Linked DNA regions of Elephas maximus indicus. The protein of the gene in region 3 interacts with the protein of the main gene of each other region in a pairwise test. Links are inferred from orthologs where the notes say so. Each region holds a gene or a part of one and is shown on either strand. Other genes may lie near its edges. The genes, in order: SHFL, APOL6 and ADAMTSL4.

Region 1 (3,745 bases), about 160 Mb from region 3:
GACACCAGGGGCAGAAACAGGTTGGGGCTCAGGCCTCTTTTCCACCCTCATTTGTTGGCGGAGGAGCTCCTGCTCTGGAGTCCAGAAAGGGACGCAGGGCTCTGGCCCCCCATGAGAGTAGGGCGCCCCTTAACTCATGATGAGCTGATTGAGCAGCACCCACTTGAGAGCCAGGTGTATGACCTTGCACCTGTCATCTCAGCTATGCTCACAGCAGCCCTGAGAAGTGTGTTATCCCCATTGCTCAGATAGGGAAACTGAGGCTCAGAGCTATGAGGGGGCTTGCTGGCGATGACCCTGAGTGAGTGTGGAGCAGCAGGCCTGAATCCTGTGTTCCCTGCCTGCCAGCAGACAGACTGTGAGCACCCCATCCCCAGCACACGTTTGCTGGCATGGTGACAGGTCTGCCTCTGGGGCTGTGCTCCTTTAGCTAAGTGCTTGGGCTCTGGATTCAGACAGACCCAGGTTCAAATCCCAGCTCCACCACTTCCAGCTTTGGAACCCTGGGCCATAATGAGGGGCATCTCAGAGCTCTTAGGTGGTTAGGGTTCAAATCCCAGCTGTTTGCTGTGTGAACGTGGCAAGTGACTTCATCACTCTGTACCTCAGTGTCTTTGTCTGTAAAATGGGGAGGACACCTAATAGGCTCTATCTTGTGGGGTTGTGGGGTTGTTGTGAGATTGTAATCTGTCAACACTTATAAATCCTTCAGCCCCACATATGGGAAGTGCTCCGTCAGTGCCCCCCTTTGCTATTATTTTTATCACTCGTCAACAACTCTACGCCAGGCCTTTCAGCAGGCAAAATCCCCAGTCCACCAGCCACCAAAACCATCTTTCTAAAAGGCAAAGCAGCCAGGTCACACCTGTGCTTCAAAGCCTTTCATTCATTCACTCATTCAACACAGGGGCTCCCTGCTGCACTTCCCCTCCCCCGCCCCCAGTCTGCTCATTCGCAGCCTTTTCAGGTGCCCCTTTCTCACCTTCCAGCCTTTGCTCAGGGCATTCCCTCTTGCGTCCCCTCCGCTTCCCAGGGCTCACTCCTCTCTGTCCTTTAAGACTTGGCATTACCTCCTCCAAGAAGCCTTCCCTGATCTCTAGGGATTTCCCTTATTGACATTAATGCTGGCTCGAGCCACTGCCTACTTTTGTATCTCTCTCTCTCTGATTTAATACAACCAGCATGTATCGAGCACCTCCTGTTTGCCACCTCCCTGGCTGGACGCACAATAGAGAGGTGAATACATGAATGAAGTTGGACCAAGAGTGTGGACCGGCAGTGCCCAGTCCCTCCTGCTCCCTAGGGAGCTCTCCGTGGGTGGGTGGGGGGATCCTCTCTGTTCTCCCTCTTTACCCTGTTCTTGAGGGAAGGGGGCAGGTTACCTGGGCAGGCAGGCCATTACTCAGTTCCTGTCCATCTTTCTGCTTTACCTCTGGTGGAGAGAGAACTCGTAAGTGAAGGGCCCCTGAGGCGCTGTGGGAGTTTCAGGCCCCCAGAGCCCACTGTAGACCTTTCCCGAGGCTGGGGATCCACAGGAGGTGGTCTCAGCGTTTCTTTCCACCCTCGGCGCTCCCACACGCAGCCCTCCAGGCCCGGGACCCCCACCGGCTCACCGTACACGATGGAGCGCCCCACTCCAGTGTGGTCGCTGCCAAACTTCCTCATCAGAGCCCCTGCCTTGCGGGAGGACACCTTCCCATGAAACTTCTCCCGGAGGCGCCGGACGCTCTTCTCCAGCTTGGGCGCGGATAGAGGGGCTCCGATGGGGGAGGAGAGGCGCAAACGCCCCTCCCCCTCCCCCTGGCACCAAGCACCAGGCCTGAACTTGACCCTCGGGTTTGGCCTCTGCCCACCTCCCCCACGGCATTTCCTGGAAAAAGCCAAAGTCCCCACCGGACATTGGGGAATGGAGCGGGGAGGGACTAGGGCAAGCGTCCCAGGGTAAGGCGAGGCCGGCCAGGTAACCTCTGGCCTTCGAACCCTGACCCAGCAGCCCCCGCTTTTTCTCGGGGAGGCCGCATTTCGTTCTAGGGTATGTGGGGGATCACTCTCCTTTCCCACAGTGGCGCGCGCCGGCCAGGGGGAAGGTCTGGGCTTATGATGGGGATTCCCGGGAACTGCGAAGCCACCTCCGCACCCCCTGCCCCTTCCCGGCGTTTCTCGCGGGCCCCCGGCGCGGCCGTCGCCATCTCCTACCTCCACACCTTCCTGAGACATGGTGGCGGCGGCGCAGGTCCCCGCGAGGGTCCGCACGCAGCGCCGGCCACCCAGCTACCTGGGCGCGCCCGTCGATCCGGCGGCCGCGCAGGGCAGGGGGCGGTGCCTCGGGCCAGCCCGCCCTTCCTTCCTGGCCCCCTCTTTCGCTTTCGTTTCGGGGGGGCGGGGCGCCTTGGCTCCGCCCCTGTTCCTGCGCCCCAAACCCAGGCGGGCGCCCCTGGTCCGCGCCCTGCAGTGGAGCGCGCAGACCTCGCGTGGGGGGGGGGGGGGCGGCGCGGCCTCTGCAGTCGGTCACATGTCCCCACGCTGCGCGGGGTCCGCGTCTTCACGTCCCATGTGGGGGCGGGGCTGCATCGGAAAGCCGCTGCAAGTCTCCGCACCTCCACAGCTCGAGGGGACCCATCGGTCGTCACCTTCTTTCCTTTCCTTCCCTCTCTCTCCGGAGGAATCAGGCGCTAATTAGGACCTGGGCCTCTTGGCGCTGAGTTGCTGGACAGGCTATGACCCCTTCCTTGGACCTCAGTTTACACTTCTGTAAAATGGGGATGATGGTAGTGGCTACATTCTGGTGGGGGGTCAGGAGACCTCGGGTAGAGCACTGAGCAGCACCTGGCTTGCTGTGGGCACGCTAATAGTCTTTGAGTCGCGTACTCTGTGCCAGGTACGAAGGGGCGGGTGGGCTACGGGAGGGATACTTGTTAAAAATACAGACCCCTGACCCGTAGCAGCTCTTTGGAATCAGACTATCTGGGGCTCCGGGGCACCTGCATTGTAAATCTGAAGGTCGAGAGCCCTATGGGTCAAGACAATTCTAACCCAGCGCACAGGGGACTGGAGGAGTCCTTAAGAGGGGCTCTGGGCCAGCAGGGGGCGTCAGGGATGGTTTGTCGGAGGAGTTAAGGGTTAGCACAGAGTGCCTGAAGCTTGAGGCCTTAGCCGGTGCCTGAAGTTTGAGGCTGCTCTGTGAATTGCAGGCTGTTTAGCAGCATCCCCGGTCTCTACCCACTTGATGCCAGTAGCATCCTGCCCCAATTGTGACAATCAAAAATGTGTTCAAGCATTGCTAAATGTCCCCTGGAGTGCAAAATTACGTTAGGGTAAACGGCTCCAATTTTTTTTCCCCCCATTTGTACACCCTATCAGGAAAAAGAAAAAGTCCCCGGGTGGTGCAGACTGTTGGGGCTAGTCTCCTAGCCTAAGGGTTAGTAGTTTGAACCTACCCAGCAGCACTGAGGAAGAAAGGGTTGGCAATACGCTTCCATAAAGATTACAGCCAAGACAAATCTATAGAGCAGTTCTACTCTGTAGCACATGGGGTCACCATTAGTTGGAATCCACTCGACGGCATCAAGTGTTGTTTTTTTAAATCAATAAAAATGTCGATTCTCTGTCTCCCATATGGATACTTAATTTATAAATATGTACTAATGTTGTCGTTAGGTGCCATTGAGTCAGTTGCGACTCATAGCGACCCTGTATACAACAGAACAAAACACTGCTCGGTCCTGCACCATTCTCACAGTCGTTG
Region 2 (3,745 bases), on a different chromosome or scaffold from region 3:
ACGTGATAATTGGTATAGACACAGCATGGTAAAGTGAATTCAACCCTTCCCTCTGTCATTCATAGTTGTGTGATTTCAGGAAAATTAACTCACCCCCTTAAGCCTCCCAGTGAAATATGCAGGGAAATGCCTAACTCAGTAAATGGTCAGGGGTTTCTGGGGTTGAGGGTGCAAATGCCTAATGTGCTCGCTCCTAACTGAAAGGCTGAAGGTTCGAGTCCACTCAGAGTACCTTGGCAGAAAGACCCAGTAATCTAAGCTACTGAAAGCCCTATGGAGCACAGTTCTACTCTGACACATGTGGGGCCGCCATGAGTCGAAGTGACCTGATGGCAACTGGCATGGATTCTTATTTGTGCCAGACATGGGCAAATACTCCATACACCTTTAATTCTCTCAGTGACCCTGTGAGATGAAATAGATGGTAGCATTATCCCCATTTTACAGATGAGGAAACTGAGGCACAGGGAGGCCAATGTTGGGAAAGTGTGATCGCAGCTAGTATGAGTCTAGAACAGTGGTTCTTAGCCACAGGCTATTTTGCTCCTTCTTCAAGGGGACATTTGTCACTGTCTGGAGATATTTTTGAGTGTCACAACTTAGGGAGGGGGATGCTACTGGCATCTAGTGGATAGAGGCCAGGCTAAACAGCCTACAATACACAGGACGATCCCCATGCAAAGAATTACCCAGTCCAAACGTCAATAGTGCCAAGGTTGAGCAACCTTGGTCTAGAGCCCCATTCTTTACCAGCACCCTCTGATTCCTCCCCCATTTTTCATGTGAACCCTATGGGATGAAGGGCAACAGGGACAGCAGGCAGCTCTTTGGTCTGATCAGGTCCCTATTAAGCTTGCTTTGTGGATGTGGGGGACAGTTATGTTGGAAGAGGGATGGAATGGGTGGGAGAGGACTTGAGAAGTTATTTCAATATTAGCACTTATAAAAGAGTGTTGGCAGTCTTTCTCTAACTGCCTGGAGAGGCTTTAGCTCCTCCGTGCTCTTCGATGGCTCCTTCCCCTGAAAGCCAACTCCCTCAAACATATAATCCAACTCAGATCTAAATGACTCTGAAAAACACAGCTTTGAGATAATCCCCTAGTCTTTATCACCAACTCCCCCACTCCCTTCCTCAAACTACTCCAAATAAATTTATAATCCAGGAAACATGAAAATGGTGCAGGACCGCGGGCGATGTTTTGTTCTGTTAAGCATAAGGTTGCCTGGAGTCAGAGTCTACTCCATGGTAACTCACAAGAACTAGAAAGCATTGTGGGCTTAATTTGCAATCCTGAGACAAGTCACCAACATCGCTTTCCTACAAAGCTATCACTCCTAAACCATTCCTGTACAGAAGTTCTAGAAAAATCCCCATGGCCGATGGAGTCTTTTATATTTTAAGAGCCAAGCCATTCCCATCTAGGACTCTCGGATGGCCATTGCAGCTAAAGATGCAATTTGGTTAGTCATGTTGTTGTTGTTAGGTGGCGCTGAGTTGATTTTGACTCTCAGAGACCCCATGTGACAGAGTAGAACTGCCCTATAGAATTTTCTAGGCCATAATCTTTATTGCAACAATCGCCAGAACTTTTTCCTGTGGAGCCACGGGGTGGCTTTGAACTGCCAGTCAAGCACTTAACCATTGCACTACCAGGGCTAGTCATAAAAAAAAAAAGATTACCACACTTTTAATCATGTTTTCATTTAAACTTCAAACAGCCTCGTGAAGGAGAATTTCTGATCCTGATTTATCATATAAAGAAGTTGAACCTCAGGCCCTTCCCAAGCTCACAAAGTTAGTGACTGACTGGCTGGAGAGGGGCTGAGCCCTGGTTGGAGGTGCCTCGGAAGAAAGGCCTGGCAATCTACTTCCAAAAAATCACCCATCCAAAGCCCTGTGGAGCACAGTCCTACTCTGGCACACATGGGATCGCCATGAGTCAGAGTCAACAGCAGTTGGTTGGTTTTTTTGTCCTGACAACAACCCTTTTTCCTGAACCAAAGTACTGGTAGCTGTCCCCTTTGGCTGCTTGTCCTTCAGGGAGCCCCAGAAGCAGCCCCTCCCTGCTCTGCCTGCTGTCCTACCTTCTCTCAGGAAGCAGTCTCTGGTAGCCTCAGGTTCTCACATCTCTGAGGGTCTCTGAGCTGGTGTCTGGACAGCAGATGGACAGGCACAAAGGGCAGCATCTCAGGTAGGGCTCGCTGACTAGAGGGAGGGACCCAGGCTCTGCTGGTGGCTCTGGGAAGAAACTGCAAAACTGCGCTGAAGTTAATAGCCTTGGGTGTAGAAAACCCACAAGACATCATTTCCTGGTAGAGGTGGGGTTATTGAGAAGGCTCAGTCTTTCACTTTTCTTTTTGCTTCTTTGTCTAATAGTTGCACAGCGCACTATTGTGGGTGTGCTGAACCAAAGTCAGAAGGCTTGAATTCACCTCTCCTCGGCACCTCTTCCTAGCTGTGTACTGGGCAGTGTAATGAGTGGTTCTAAGACAGGGAGACAGAGGGGCCCCCCAGTGTGCAATTGACATAAACAAATTAAAGTAACAAAGTAACAGGAAATGGGCCAGGGTGAGGAGGAAACAAAGCCATTTCCCAGAACCATGGGGCAGGGTATCAGAAAACAGCCCACAAACTTCTTTAAAGTTGTTTTTCAGAAGCAGCGGGATGAAAGCAGCCCCAGGGACAAAAGCAGAACATCCACCTGTGACCACTGTGTGACCTTCCACCAGGGGCAGTGAGGAGCTATAGCTGCAGCCAGTGAATCAAACTCGGGGAGCAAGAGACCGCACAGACGCAACGCCCCGTAATAAGTCCTGATACGAATCCCAGAGGCCTCCGGGACAGAAGCTATCTTAGAGAGCTGCTGTGCGCGCTCACACCGTAGTTAACGTATCTCTGCCCAGACAGGCCACCTCTTGGAAAACCCCGCCTATACCTATGAATAAACATAAATCTTTTCCCACCCAAAAACCTTTAAGAACCCATGCAAATCCTTTGTTCTGTGAGACGGGAGTAAGGGTTGCCTAGGCCCTCCTCGTCTCTGCTTGCAAGCCTCTTTTAATAATGAAGCTTTGCTCATGTGGAAAAGTCTCCTTGCCTTTCCTATTCATTCTTGACCAGTGAGAGGCAAGGAACTCATTCAATTGCAGCAACAGTTCTGGTCACACAAGGTTTCTGAAGGCAAGCAGACCACTTGGAGTTGTATCACCTTGAGCAGGTTATTCAACTACAGTTGACCTTGATTTGCCACCTGTAAAATGGGGATGAACATAGCTCCAGTGAGTAAGTGACACAATGCCCAGTGTGGAACCAGCACACAACAACAGTAGCTGCGCTGATGTTTCAAAATCACTTTCCTACACGAATCTTACCTGAGCCTTAGAACAACTCTACGAGGTAAACGGCACTTGTATAAAATGGCATGATGGCAGCATCTGACGCCTTCTAACTTCAGGAGGGGGTGGAGAAAGAAGCAAGATCAACGTCAACAGCCCAAAGCTGATCCCTACGAGGCGGAGGTCAGACATGCCTCCTCTCTCCAACCTTTTTACCAATTCTGACACCATTTGTCCCCCCTATGGCACTCTCTACGTCTCTGCCGGCTTTGATAATTCATTGCGATGGCCACACAGACAAAACTCATGATTATGGGGTTTATTAGGGAAGTTAACAGGTTACAATTCAGGATCAGAAATAACTCAGGATACATTTCTTCTGTCAGGACAGCTCCTTCTCAGCTGTGCC
Region 3 (3,689 bases):
CTCGCTCACCTCCTGATCCAGGCAGAGCTGAGGGAGGGACAGAAGCAGCATCAGACAGAGCCAGGGCCTGCACACCAAAGGCAGGAGAGGGTAGGTCAGATAGGAGCCGAGGTGTTACACCACCACGCCTACCCACAGCAGCTCCCCACATCCTGACCACCAGCCTCTCAGAAAGCACAAGTTACTCATCACTTCCCCTGCCTCTCCCTGTGCTCTCCCCTCCCTCATGTCCAGGGACAGAGCTCCCCCCACCCTGGCAGCCCCACCTCTTACCTGCCGGCCCACTTCTCCATCACTTCTCCCTGATTGCCCAGGGCTAGGGAGAAGGGGACTGGAGGTAAATGCACTACTCAGGCATCTGGGCGTGGAGGGGAGGGAAGCCTCGTGGTTACTTCAGTCTTCAGAGAGCTGGGGCGTCGGGATGGATGAGCCCTCAGAAGGCTGTCTCAGAGTGAAGATGGAGGGGTGGGAGAGACTGGCCCACCTTTTTATGATTCTAAGGGTGGGAGCAGGGAGTCATACTGCCTTTGTCCATCTGCTGAAGCTAGAGGGTGGGGGTCTGACCTCAGCCTCCCAAGTATTGGCTCAGTCCCCTCCCCCTGGCCCTGTAGGAACCTCTGACTCCTCCCTAGACCCAACTTGGGTGTTTCTAGGCCAGCACAGAGTTTTCTTAATATGGTTTTCATCTGGGTCTCCCTCCTGCCCCCTAGGGGTACCTGGAAAGTTGAGGAAGGAGGCTCTGGTGAGGATATGCCAGACGTCCCCTCCGAGGATCTGACAAGGAGCCCCTTGGGTTTTCCAGAAACAAGAGCCTCCCCAGCCATCTCTGTTTCCTACCTCCCAGCTTTTTCTTTCCTTCTTAGCTAAGCTCCTTATGGAACAGTCAGGCACATCTCTGCCTGCCTCAAAAACTTTCGAGCCAAGGGATAAACTAAGTGGGTTGATGGTTTAATCTCAAGAGAAACAGATGATTTTCCCACTGCGATTTACGCTCCACTCTGGCCAGAGGTCCCTGAATGGCACAAATGGTCTGTGCCTGACTACAAACCTCAGAGTTGACAGTCTGAACCCACCCAGCAGCACTGTGGAAGAAAGTCCTGGTCATCTGCTTCCATAAAGATGACAGCCAAGAAAACCCTATGGAACAGTTCTGCTCTAACATATGAGGTTGCCATGAGTTGAAATTGACTCAATGGCAATGAGTTAATGGACTGGGTGCCAGGATCCTGGACTGGTTCAATGAGGGCTTGTTTCATGTGCAACTGTGACAGGCTAGGAGAACCTGAGGAGAGAGGCTGCCAGGGCTGCCCTTGCTCCCCAATCACAGGCCTATCATTCTCAAGATTCAGGAAGTTCTCCCTGAAGTCTAGCTTTGAGGGTTGGGGAAGTGGGGGTTGGAACCCTCCCCACCTTAAAGCCTGACTCTGCCCACCCCTCCTTGCCCTCCAGCCCCCTCCTTCTTCCTTTGAGCCCTTCCCATCCCCAGCCCACCATTTTGCTTCTAGTTCTGCTTTCCAGGAAAAAAAAAGTGTGTTTCTGTTGGAGCTGAAAGGCACCCAAAGAGGAGTCCAAGGAGCCAGTGCTGAGGTGGGCCAGCTCCAGGGCAGGAAAATGACAGAGAGGAGGGCAGGAATGTGCCTGGGGGTAGCAACACCCAGACCCACTCCCCTCTCTAAGACCCCAGGACTTGCGAATTTGAGGGAGAGACCAGAGTGGTCAAGCAGGGTCACCTCTGCTGCTCAGGGTTGGGATGGGGGAGATAGGCCGATGGCAGCTCCTTCCCCTGGCTAGGCCAGCCACTGAGGTCAGAGACTACACCCTGATGGGCGGGACGCTGGGGGCTCCCGAGAAGGGCCTACGTTCCACCCAAATCTCCATATCTCTGCCTGACTCTTGAAAACCCTAACTTGAGGTCGAAGCGAAGGAGAGATGGAGGAAGACCCTCACTGCCCTTCTCTGCTGCCAGGTCCCCTCTGTACTCCCTCTGTCTGTGCTTCTGTTACCAGAGGTTTGTATCTCGCTGTCTCTCTCCATGGGTCTACCCAGGACACATAATCCCGTCCTGAGCTGGGTTTGGCTTTGGCATATCCCTAGAGAAGTGAAGGGTGGGGGGTGGAGTGACGTGAGCTCCTGGGGCCCAGGCCAGGCCTGGCTCCCTCTCTGGAAAAGTCCCACCTCCCCCACCCCCCTGCACAGCTGGGCAGGGGGCAGATATCCCCTTCTCTCTGGAAACAGGCACACACCCCTTTTCACATCCCTCATCTGGTGTCTCTCAATGCCCAGGGTGAGGAAAGGAGACGTCAGAAGTGGACACTCTGGTGCCAGGCTGGAAGCTGCTCTCGACAACCTGGGCTCCTCCTGGCCACACCTCCTCACACTGGCCAGTGAAGATCAAGGAGCAAGACCTGGGCAGGGCTAACTCCTCAACACCCAGAGGGACCCACCTCTGGGAAATAGGGAGCCGCTGAACAGTATGTTTCTGGGCTGGTGGTGGAGAGTCCCTGTCCTGTGTCAGAACTCTTCGGTCCTCATCATGTCCTCCACTCTTGGGTCCTGGAGGACTGTACCAACAGGTGTCCTTCCTTTGGTCGACCTCTTCTGCCCTCAGGCTAAGCTGGATCAAGGGCACCCACCTGCATGCCTCCCAGCGCCCCTATTCCCCTCAAAAAGTAAAAGGCGGAGTGGGGGGCACACATTCTCGGAGGAGGGGAGGCGGCGTCGGCGCATGCCGGGAGGTCCTGGGTATGTTTTCCAATTTTACTATGTGACTGAGTAGGAATTTTGGCTTATTCCCCGCCCGAGTGATGGGGCCAGAGTTCTACAGGATCAGACTGCGCACCCCCCCCCCCCCGCCCCAGGGAATTCGACCCCAGGGTCTGGAAGATCTTCCGAGGCTCTAAGTGCCGGGGTCGGGGTCGTGGCGGGGGCGCGACCAAGGAGCGCGAGGCGCGGGGGCGGTGCGCGCGTTCGGGGCGGCCGGTCTAACGGGACCGGGAAGAGGGGGCGGCCGTGGCCGGGGTCCCAGGGAGGGTCTGTACCTGCTCTCCGCGCCCCCAGGGGCCGGTTAACCCTTCTGCGCCCGGGCGCTCTCTCGAGACAGCCTTGCTCCGCGGCGGCCACTGTGGCCCCAGAACAGGGCTCGGGACACTGCCGCCTCCAGCTGCGGCTCCGCCCCTGCGCCCCGCCCCGCCGCCGCCCCGCCCCGCCGCCGCCACGCGCCCCTCGGCCGCCCGGGGTGGGGACGGCCGACCTCCGGCTGCCTGTCGACCGGCCGGGGCCACCCACCCGGGGCCGCTGGCCACGGCGACCCCTGAGTGTCGGGCACCCTCCGACGGTTCGAGGAGCGAAGCCAAGGCGGTCGCAGCCTGGGCTGGAGGCAGCCGTCTCTCCCGGGCACTGTCGCCGGCCCGCGCGCTGGGCTCGGCTGGGGCTCGCGGACTCGCGGACCCCCGGCCCAGGGCCGGCTCTGGGTGGGCGGTGCGAGCGCGGCACCTGCCCAGGCGGGGCAGCCTGGAGAGGCGCCAAGGGTCCAGCTGGGTGGCGTAGGCGAACCAGCCCCGGGCCCCAGATGGAGGCTGTGCACCGGGCCGAGATGGCCCCGTCCAACCCCAGGTCCGTGTCGGTCAAAGCTCCTTTCTCCACGCAGCCAACGGTGCCACCCAGTCACTTCTGCCTCTCCCAAGTTGGGT

Evidence for each region.
Region 1: the proteins of ADAMTSL4 (region 3) and SHFL interact in binary tests that used the Homo sapiens proteins (3 or more experiments, as listed by UniProt). The two-hybrid records come from large-scale screens. The link is inferred for Elephas maximus indicus from reciprocal best matches to the Homo sapiens genes ADAMTSL4 and SHFL.
Region 2: the proteins of ADAMTSL4 (region 3) and APOL6 interact in binary tests that used the Homo sapiens proteins (3 or more experiments, as listed by UniProt). The two-hybrid records come from large-scale screens. The link is inferred for Elephas maximus indicus from reciprocal best matches to the Homo sapiens genes ADAMTSL4 and APOL6.

Annotation. Positions count from the first base shown.
Region 1 is NC_064821.1:28,234,789-28,238,533, reverse strand, and holds the start of SHFL (shiftless antiviral inhibitor of ribosomal frameshifting protein), read right to left. Parts: upstream 2,460-3,745; 5' UTR 2,218-2,459; coding exon 2,197-2,217; intron 1,738-2,196; coding exon 1,614-1,737; intron 1,433-1,613; coding exon 1,383-1,432; intron 1-1,382.
Region 2 is NC_064822.1:179,138,200-179,141,944, reverse strand, and holds the start of APOL6 (apolipoprotein L6), read right to left. Parts: upstream 2,315-3,745; 5' UTR 2,086-2,314; intron 1-2,085. UniProt on the Homo sapiens protein: May affect the movement of lipids in the cytoplasm or allow the binding of lipids to organelles.
Region 3 is NC_064821.1:184,674,678-184,678,366, reverse strand, and holds the start of ADAMTSL4 (ADAMTS-like protein 4), read right to left. Parts: upstream 2,562-3,689; 5' UTR 466-2,561; coding exon of another isoform or gene 422-465; 5' UTR 294-421; coding exon 274-293; intron 68-273; coding exon 10-67; intron 1-9. Other genes in the region: translation initiation factor IF-2-like, read left to right, coding at 422-465, 2,609-2,669, 2,777-3,612. UniProt on the Homo sapiens protein: Positive regulation of apoptosis. May facilitate FBN1 microfibril biogenesis.